Caenorhabditis elegans: one gene and its partner. The protein of the gene in region 1 interacts with the protein of each later gene in a pairwise test. Each region holds a gene or a part of one and is shown on either strand. Other genes may lie near its edges. The genes, in order: rike-1 and ubc-13.

Region 1 (4,904 bases):
AGAGAGACAGAAAAATGGAAAGATCCTAAAATTTAAATAATACGTTTAATAGTACTAGGTTTCAGCTAGATATGAATAATGAGCAAGTTGGATTTTTGGTAATCAGTCACAAAACAGAAGACCCGAAGAACTCGGGGGATGTCCAATTGGGGGGATTACCAACTCGGGGGATTGGCCCCGCCCACAGAACCGTGGCTGGCAATACGCCCATTTCTGCAACTGCACGGTTTCGAAACTGTATTTTTCTCAATAGAGCGAGAATTAACAAGAAAAATACAGTTTCAAAACCGTGCGGCAGTTGCAAAAATGGGCGTATTGCAAGCCCCGGTTCTGTGGGCGGGGCCAATCCCCCGAGTTGGTAATCCCCCCAATTGGACATCCCCCGAGTTCTTCGGGTCTCCAAAACAGTAAACTGATTGGTCTCAAAGGTTAACGCCAAACCGAAAATCAACGAGTACAGCTCATACAACAGCTGTTTTTATGAAAATAAGATACACGATTTTATGTAATAGCTTGCTCATTCGATGCAGATGAACCGGCTCCAACCATTGGTCCGGAGCAACTAATAATCTCCCATGCACGTTTTTCTGGATCAAATCGCTCGACTTCATTGATTAAGCTCCAATTGTCAGCACATCCGCGAATAGCATAAATAGCTTCGTTCGTCGAGTGAAGAGTGAAATATTTTCGATCTTTGCTCAACGATGGCTCATCTCTCCATGATTTCGTCAATGGATCATAGCTTCGAACTGATCTCAACGTATTACTCGAGTTACTCCATCCACCAGCAATGTAGATTCTTCCTCTGAAGGCACACGATCCAAATCCGGCGCGACTTCCTTGCATGTCGCCCACAATTTCGAACTTTTGACCAGGTTCTGACAGCTTCTCAATCTTCTCTTCATATTCTTTTCCATTGAAACCTCCCAACACTGAAATTAAACCTTTTTTAATCAACTAATTAATCGAAATCATACCATAAACCTCTCCATTGCATGGAACAACCGCTGCATCGGCACGAGGCCTTTGCAACGATGGTCCATCCTTCCACTCTCCTTGATCAGTATCATAAACTTCCACAGAATTCATATAAGTGCTATCATATCCACCGGCCACGTACATTTTGTTGTTATGGATTCCCGCCGACGTTCGTGTTCTTCCACGCTTCATTTTATTACACTGTAATAACTTTGACATTTTTGTTGAAATCAATAAAAATTATTTGTTTTAAAAGTTTACAATTCTAGAGAATTTTTTAAAAGCTGAAAGAATAACCCACATCTCTTCGCAAGTTTTTCTCCCGATCATACATTTCAACGTTGTTCAACCATGATCCGTTATTCATTCCTCCGACTATATAAATTTGAGATTTGCTGCAGGCAACAGCGTAGTTTGATTTTGGGTTCGGCATTCGCCCAACTGGCGTCCATCCTCTGTTTTTAGGATCGTAGACTCCAATCAAAAGTGGTTCACGGGCACTCTGCTTTCGATCTGGAAAAAAAGAATAATTTTGAGAGATTTTTTAGACTGGAATCGCGGGAGGAGTCTGTATAAAATGCAAAAGCATGATAACAACGAACGACACGCGAGCGTCGCGATGAGCTTTTTTCGTTCAAGAATGCACAACATAAATATAACTTTTACCTGCAACCAATACGGGATCCTGACTAGCGAAAACGAAATTTGCCTTAGTAACAGGTTGTTTAGTTTGAAAAACGATTCGATCGTGCTCTTCGATTTCGTTATTCAAAAAATCCAATCGTGTTCCAGCATCTTTGACAAGAGCTATCGTATCACTTATTTTCTCCATTTCAGCTTCGATGTTGTTGAAGTGAGTCTTTCTTCCGGGCGGAGACAACTTTTCATGCTTTTCGAAGTAATTTTGAAGTGATTTAATTGTCGCCGCAAATTTGTCAGAGATATCATCGCACACCTGCTTCGAAAGCTCACTGATTTTACTGATTTTATTTCCGAGATTAGTCGGTGCTTGATCTTCGATACTATTTTTCAAAAGAGCCAGCTGCATTGTCTGATGTCCTTCGTGTTGGGCCCCATCCAAAGCACAATCACCGCAAATCGCCATCTTCTTAGCTCGTGTCATTGCTTCATCGACTCCATCATCTCCAACAACTAATACTAATTCTTTTTTGCCTTCGGCTTGCTTCAGAACTCCTTTTCCGACGGCGCACGTTTTACAAATTCGTAATTTCTTGGAATGTAGGGTGCACTCACTGCATGTTCCTTCGTCTAAGCTCTGCAAAAACTTTTTCTGGGTTTTTATAGAAAAAGGAAATTATACTTACATTTGTGGATTGTGCCTGTGGCGCTACTCCCCCACTTTGCATACTTTTAAAGTGCTTTATTAATTCTAAAACTTGATAATTGATTGTAGTAATTGCGAAGGCTTCTTCTCGATTGCACTGTGGACATTTTGATGAGACCATTTGATGTTTGCAACTTTCACATATGGAGTGGCCGCATGTGCCTATGCAAGGTTTCCGGAGTTCGGTGTCTGAAATTTAGAAGTTTTTTTCGAAATTCATTAATGTGCTCACCATATTCATTATAACAAATTATGCATTCTGTTGTATTCACAATTGACATTTCTTGAAAATTATTGTGTTTGAACCAACTGTTGACCCGTCTTGTCTGAAAAGAGGTTCAATGTGTGTGAAATTATCGATTTTTAGGGAAAACTTGCGCATTCGATTTTGCAAAAGGATTTTCTAAAATAAAATAAGAATAAGATATTTTCCGCGCGGATGAGTGGTGTGCGGCACGCGAATAAATTTCTATCCGGAAAATTTTCGGCGGAAAATAAATATTATTTATGGATATATCCGGATACTTCGAAAGGGCGCATTTGCACACGCAAGGATTCTAGGCCGCGAAGCTTGACATTAATTTATCAAAACCCATTTGGATTTCGAATCCGAAAGAAATTCGATAGATTTAAAAGTGATTCAATTTTGACGATTGGAGAAATTTCGAAAACATGCAATATTGAAATAGTTTTATTTTGAAACACAGGAACAAAACAATGAACAGCGAAAATTCGGAAGAAAACTAGAAGATATTATAAAATAAGAATGAGCAAGGCGCGTTTATCCGTCGACAAAGAGAATGAGAGAAACATACGGACATTGCCACGGTTAAAAAAGGAAATAGAATATCCTAAAAAATGATGAAAATCATTGCTTTTAAGTAACTGTTTTAGCATTATTTGAAATGTTCTGTTTCCTCATATAAAATTTCTCAGATTTTAAAAAATTGCTTGAAATCAAAATTTCCCAACTCTTTCTAATACTTATTTGAACCTAATGAAGAAGCCACGCTCATTTTGAAACCATTCACCATATTCTAATTTCGCTTTTTTGTGCAGTTCTAAATTTAGAGAAAATTCGATCAGGGAAATTAGCCAAAGTTGGAAATTTGCAATTTTATATCCACCTTTCACAGAATTTCTCATTTATTTCCAGTTCGTTTTACAGATATCTAAAAATTAGGACAGGTTTGAATTACTGTATTCAAGGTTTTTTTTATTGCGACACGATAAAATGCCTTTCTCCTACCGATATCAAATTTTCGTTATTTTTCTCTTCTCTCGTTTTCAAAGACCAAGAAAGAATTCTATCAATATTATCCTTTTTGACACACGATGATTTCTCCTTTTCTCTTCATCCAATCTAATTTTTCTGTTTTCACAACGTCAATCTAATTCGAATGCGATTTCCCATACACTTTCTGATTTTTATTCCGTACTTAATACTCGTTTGTAAGTTAATAAGCTCGTAGTTCTATAAATAGTTTCGAATTATTAGCAGGAGAAAACGATATCGATGAAGATCGAGAAGGTGATGGTGTCGATGTAATTGAGGTTAGAAATGACGCAATTCGAATTCGATGGAAACATGATTCCGATGAAGAAATTGTGACAAGACAACGATTAGTTGTAACTGTTATGAGAAGTACGAGCTCTGGCCATTTTGAACATTCAGAATATAGAATATATGATAGGCTCACAATATAATTGTTATCTTACCAATTTGAGTTTTACGATTTCAGGTTCACAACAAACGGAAAAATCATCTCAAACAGTTTTGGTTGATGCATTTTTGCGCGACTACACATTTATTGGATTAGCTGGAAACACAACTTACCGTCTATCAGTGGAAGCTTTCAAGGTATCCTATATGAATGCTTTCTTGTGAACAAGTATATCAAATTATGTAGTTCCGACGTTGTTGCGGTGGCGGTCCTCGGAAATGAAGAACCACTCCTTTCGGGCAGAGATGCTATCTGAAAAATTTGATAAATATATAATGTATTAAAGAGACGATATTGTGAAAACAATTATTATTTTGACGAAAAGGTAAATATATAGGTTGAAAATCCTCACTCACAGTACAAATATTTAGAGAAAATAACAATTGTAGTTTTATCCATTTTTGAAAATATAGCTGTTGATTATTTATGAAAATTATGAAGCTTCTGAAAACGTTTGCAGAATGAAACAAGTCTTTGGTACGCAAGCAACATGGCAACAACAAGTCTAGCAGGTATTGAACTTTTTAATTGAAAAATATTATTTTTAATTCAGAAATGACCTAGCAAAGTATAACTTGCTATCAGGATCGATTTTTTAGACAGCGCCACGTTTAGAACATTCTTATCAGTTTCTTTAACAACTGTCAAACTGCACAAAATTTGATTTCATATGAGATCTGAAATATTTATTTTTTCTTCGACAAAAGCTTCGAAATTCAGATTGACGATGTTACAACTATTAGTTAGAAAAACCTTAAACTTGACAAAAAACCCATCAAAAATTGAAACAATAAAAAACCTGAGGAAGAAGGAAGAGACAACAACAAAAAACCTGAGGAAGAATTTTTAAATGCTCC
Region 2 (5,594 bases), on another chromosome or scaffold:
TTATCGATTTTAGTGAGAAAAAAACCAAAAAGTTATCATTATTAGATTTAAAATGGCGAAAAATTTTCGATTTGAGAAAAAAAAACGAATTTTTCGTTTTTATTTTCAAAAGAATTTAGTAAAATACTTAAAACCGACACCCTCGTCTAGAATGGCAAAAATTCATACATTGTTCCTAGCACCAAGTTTGTATTTCACTCCATTGACAGAGATTGTACTACGATTGAATTCCAGCTTCTTGATAATCAGAGGTTGCGATTTTTCGATCTTTACAAGAGATGGGCATTGTGCGGCCAGTCGGAATCTGAGAATTATGTATTTAGTTAATTACAGAAACTGTTTGTCTCACCTTTTATTCGCCTCCAAGTGTTTGATAATGCACTGCATGGATAGATAGGTGAGTGGCTTCGAGTCCATGTTTGCAGAAATCTGAATTAAAAATTTTTTATCGGTAATTGCTTCAAATTTCGCAAGAAAAACATGAAAAAACACAGTTAAAATTCGAAAAATCGAAAGAAAAATCAAAAAGCTACAGTTGAACACATCGCGATGAAACCCATGCAACAAGATACTGTGTGTCCCTTTAAATTTACAGTAATATCAGCGTGCATTTTTTCGGCATTTCTCACTTTCGGCAATCGGCGATTCAGGCAGTTTCCAGTTTTTAAAATTTCTATCACAATATCTACTATTTATTCTTCTATTTATTCTTGCATTTTTTCCGGTTGAAAACCATCAGGCTACTGCTGGAAATGCCTTCAAAAATTTCTCAAAAATTCTCAAAAAAAATAACGACTTTATTCAAAAAATCATCAAAATTTCCAAAAGAGAAAAAAAAATCAATTTCGATGGAAGAAGATTTTCTGGAAACTGGGAGAAAAAAAGAAGAATTTAAATTAAATGGACGACGACGGTTTGATGAGGATCGTGAGACAACAGAGACAAAAAAATTTTTTAAAAAATTCAATGGGATGGGGAGGAAATTGTAGAATTTCGAGACAAAAAACCGGGCGGGGACAAAAAAAATCAATATTTAGATATATAGTAGAAGATGGGGAAAATCGAGATTTTTATGCAATTCATACAATTTATTGGAAGTTCGTAAGGGGGCGGGAAAAGGCGGGACAAAGAGCAGGCTGAGAGAATTTCGAATTTTTTTTTGTTTGATGTGATTTTTTGTAGTTGTTCTAGAGGCGAGCTTCGGAGACGATCAGGCTTCTGAAAAAAAATTATTAATTTATTTTTTAAATTGTTAAAAAAAATTTATTAAAATGCATATTTATTGTTGGGTCCCACAGCGAAAACTAGGAAAATCTACTGTTTTCAGAGCCGAAATCGAAAATTCGAAGGGTCGATTTACGCAGCCCGTGTACTCCTCGAGGAGAAGTGGGAATGATTTTTATACAGTTTTTTAACATTAAAACTACCAAAAAAATGGCTCATAAATTCAATTTCCAGCTGAAAACTGCTTTTAAGACACTAAATACTTCGATTTTCACTGAAAAACTGGAATTTAGCGCTAAAGTTGTTATAGTTATGTAAAATTTGTGGAAAAGTCGATGCGAAAACGGTCCAAAATCAATCATTTTAGCGCAATTTTGGAGCAAAAATCGAAAAATCGAACTAGAAACCTCCGAAATTGGCACATGTCGATTTACGCAGCTCGTGTACTCCCCGCGGAGAAGAGGGGTGAAGCACATGGATTTTGAGGCGAAAATTGTTGATGTTGGCCTATTTTTTCCTGATTTGAATCTTTAAATCACCAATTTAGGTCTAAATTATAGTGTTTCTGATAAATTTTTATTTTCGATTTTTTAAAGGTTGAAAAACTAAAAAAAATTCGAAAATAAAAATTTATCAAAAAAGCTATAATTCCGAGCAAAAATTGATGATTTAAACGTTCAAATTAGAAAAAATAGGCCAAAATCAATAATTTTCACCTTAAAACCCGTTTTTTTCACCCCCACTTCTCCTCGGGGAGTACACGAGTTGACGTAAATCGACATGCGCCAATTTCAGGGATTTTTAGTTCGATTTTTCGATTTTGGCTCCATAATTGCGCTAAAAGTATTGTTTTTCGCCGTTTTCGTCGACTTTTCCTGAAATTTTACTTAAATATAGCAAATTTAGCCGTAAATTACAGTGTTTTCCGTGAAAATCGATATTTTTAGTGGCGTAAAAGCAGTTTTCGGCTGGAAATCGGATTTACGAGCCATTTTTTGATAGTTTTAATGTTAAAAAGGTCAAAAACTGTATAAAAATCATTCCAACTTCTCCTCGGGGAGTACACGATCGGCGTAAATCGACATGAGGTCGAATTTTCGATTTTGGCTTCAAAAGAATTGCAAATTTTCATCGATTTCGTGGCGAGACCCTAGATATATTACTGACGAGCATAGTTCATCGTCCATTGTTTTGCAGTCTTAATCGCCTCGGCCTCATTCGTTTTCCATTGCTCGGCGACATCAGTTGCCAGTGGATCTTCCGGATTTGGAGCCGAAAGAAGAGCCTGAATCGACAGAAGAACCGTGCGAATTTGAAGAGCCGGCGACCATTTATCTGAAAAATTGGGCATTTTTTTTCGAGAAATTCATGTGAAAAAGCTCAAAATGAGCAGTTTTTCGAGATAATTCGCATTAAAATAGCCGAAAAATTGAACTTTTCTATGGATAATTTGATTAAAATGCGCAAAAAATGAGATATATCTATCGAAATGCTTTCTTTTGGAGTAATTTTTCGATAAAAATTGGAAAAAATGCGCAAAAATAAAGAAGTTTTCGAAGAAATTACACGAAATTTGTAATTAAAAATCGAATTTTACTATCTCTCCATTGAAATTACTAAAAAATCAGATTTTTCAGCAATTTTAACAAGAAATTCGCTTTAGAATGATTAAAAATAGCTAATTTCGATCATAAATTGAAAATGTCCCTCGAAAACTGGGGGTTCGCCGAAATTTTCGCAATTTTGAATAAAAATTGCCAAAAAAACGCCGTTTTCCGAGATTTTCGATGAAATTTGGTTAAAAATGCGCAAAAATGATACATTTTCGCAGTTTCTTTGAAAAAAATTTCACAAAAAGAGGGTTTTTTAAAATTAAATTTCGAGAAATTCGCATTCGAATGCACCTAAATATATTTATTAGAACAAAAAAAAACACGATTTTTCTCGAAATTTCGTCTATTTTGTCAAAAAACGCTCAAAATAAGCTGTTTTTGATCCATTTTTCCCATTAAAATGCGTAAAAATTCATATTTTTTGGATTATTTTCTCATTATGCGAAAAATGAGCATGAAATTCGGATTTATACGCTCAAAAAGAGCTAAATTTGATTTAAATATTAAAAAATACAAAAAATTCATCTAAACTCGTGAATATTGTTGAAAATGGGCTGTTTTTCGAAAAATTTCAAGTAAAAATATCCAAAAAAGCTAGATTTCTGAATTTTATCAATAAATTTGTGTTAAAACAGTGTAAAAATAGCAAATTTCGATGAAAATTCAGAAAATTCTCTAAAAATAATTGATTAAAACGCTAAAAACCGTTTTTTAAAAAATTTTTTCACTAATTTTTCAAAAAAAGGGGAAAATCTATTCACCCTTGAGAATATCGAGACAAATTCTGCCGAGTTTATCAATATTCGGATGATAGATCTTTGTCATGAATCGAACTTTCGGTGCAGCCATCGGATACTCTTCCGGAAGGAAAAGCTCCAACTTGAAGACACCACCAGCAAATGGAGAATCGTCTGGCCCGGCTATCATGACATGGAAGTATCTGGCGTTGCTCTCGTCTGGATTTGCCGATATTCCGGGAACCGGATCCGCGAGAAGTCGTTGTGTCTCTTTGATGATTCGACGCGGAAGTTGCCCGGCCATTCTGCAAGAAATTTTATTGTGTGTTTTGGGGCTTTTAAGCTGATTTTTCTATTAGAAAAACGGATTTTTGAGTGCAAAATGGTGAAAACTGAATAAAAAAATATATATAAATGTATAAATTTTGGCTGAAATAAAAGAAAAAAGACTAATAATTCAAGGTTTTTTAATTAAAAATCAAAGTTTTTTCTCGAAATATCGGAAAAGGGCCATTTTCCGCAAAAAAAAAGTTAAAATATCTAATTTCCTAGGGGAAACTATGAATTTTTACTTTAAAAAACTGTTTTCCTCGAATTTTCAACGTAAACATCGGCCAAAAATCGATAAAATTGTGTTTTTGGCATTTCCAACCAAAAAAATGCTCGTTTTTAGCGATTTGGAATAATTTTTTTGGAAAAAAAAATCGATTTTGGTGCAAAATAATAGCAAAATTGGATTTTTGTGCAGTTTCCATGGAAAAGTGGAATAAATTTGATGGTTTTTGAGTGATTTTAGAGCTTTTCCCAGCGAAAAACTGTTTTTCTGTTAAAAATTCAACAATTAGACGGATTTTTGAGTGCAAAATGGTGAAAACTGAAGAAAAAAATGTATAAATGTATAAATTTTGGCTGAAATAAAAGAAAAAAGACTAATAATTCAAGGTTTTTTAATTAAAAATCGAAGTTTTTCTCGAAATATCGGAAAAATGCCATTTTTTTTAGTACAAAAAGTTAAAATATCTAATTTTCTGCGGGAAACTATGAATTTTTCAATTAAAAAACTGTTTTCCTCGAGTTTTCAACGTAAACGTCGGCCAAAAATCGATAAAATTGGGTTTTTTGTGATTTCCAACATTAAAAAACGCTCGCTTTTCACGATTTCGAATAATTTTTTTGGAGAAAAAAATCGATTTCGGTGCAAAATAATGGCAAAATTGGATTTTTGTGCAGTTTCCATGGAAAACAGTGATGAAATCGCATATTTTTGCAGAAAACTGACATTTTGGAGTAATTTTAATCAAAAATAAACGCAAAAATGTGTATTTTTGACGTTTTTGGCATTACGAATTCGTTATTTTTGCGGAAAATCGATATTTTCAGCACCAAAATGTTGAAAAAGACGCGTTTTCTACGGGAGCTTTCAGTTTTTCATCTGAAAATATGTAAATTCACCGGTAGTTTGAGTGAAAAAATCAATTCAACAGTGAAATTTCGAAAAAATAGGATTTATGTGCATTTCAGAGTGAAAATTGGCATTTTTGACGTATTTTCCATCAAAAATAATGCCAAAAACTGAATTTTCGACGTTTTGAGCATTTTGAAAACGCTAAATTCGAGAAAATCGATATTTTCAGCAAAAAAACGCTGTAAATTCTCGTTATCCACGCGAAATCTTAATTTTTATACTAAAAATGTATAAATTTAACGGTAATTTAAGTAAAAAATCAATTCCTTTGCGAAATTTTTAGAAAAATTGGATTTCTGTGCATTTCCCAACGAAAACTGTTATGAAATCGCATATTTTTGCGGAAAAATCACATTTTTCGGTAATTTTAGTAGAAAATATCGCCGAAAATTGATTTTTCGGCGTTGAAAAAGCTGAAAATGGGTATTATTTTCCATTTTTACGTATTTTCCATCAATAATAACGTTTCGAAATCGATAAAATTGGTTTTTGGAGGTTTTTAAGGTGAAAATCGATATTTTCAGCCTAAAAATGCCAGTTTTCGACCGTAAATCT

Evidence for each region.
Region 2: the proteins of rike-1 (region 1) and ubc-13 interact in a two-hybrid assay, tested with the Caenorhabditis elegans proteins (2 studies listed by BioGRID).

The regions. Positions count from the first base shown.
Region 1 is NC_003283.11:14,543,218-14,548,121, forward strand, and holds rike-1 (RING-type domain-containing protein), read right to left. Parts: upstream 2,605-4,904; coding exon 2,556-2,604; intron 2,513-2,555; coding exon 2,304-2,512; intron 2,264-2,303; coding exon 1,645-2,263; intron 1,492-1,644; coding exon 1,280-1,491; intron 1,189-1,279; coding exon 978-1,188; intron 933-977; coding exon 502-932; downstream 1-501. Other genes in the region: C53A5.13 (Fibronectin type-III domain-containing protein), read left to right, coding at 3,724-3,775, 3,822-3,968, 4,066-4,184, 4,508-4,559.
Region 2 is NC_003282.8:2,921,813-2,927,406, forward strand, and holds ubc-13 (Ubiquitin-conjugating enzyme E2 13), read right to left. Parts: upstream 3,880-5,594; 5' UTR 3,879-3,879; coding exon 3,599-3,878; intron 2,560-3,598; coding exon 2,392-2,559; intron 1,219-2,391; coding exon 1,211-1,218; 3' UTR 779-1,210; downstream 1-778. Other genes in the region: fbxc-45 (F-box C protein), read right to left, coding at 169-304, 350-417.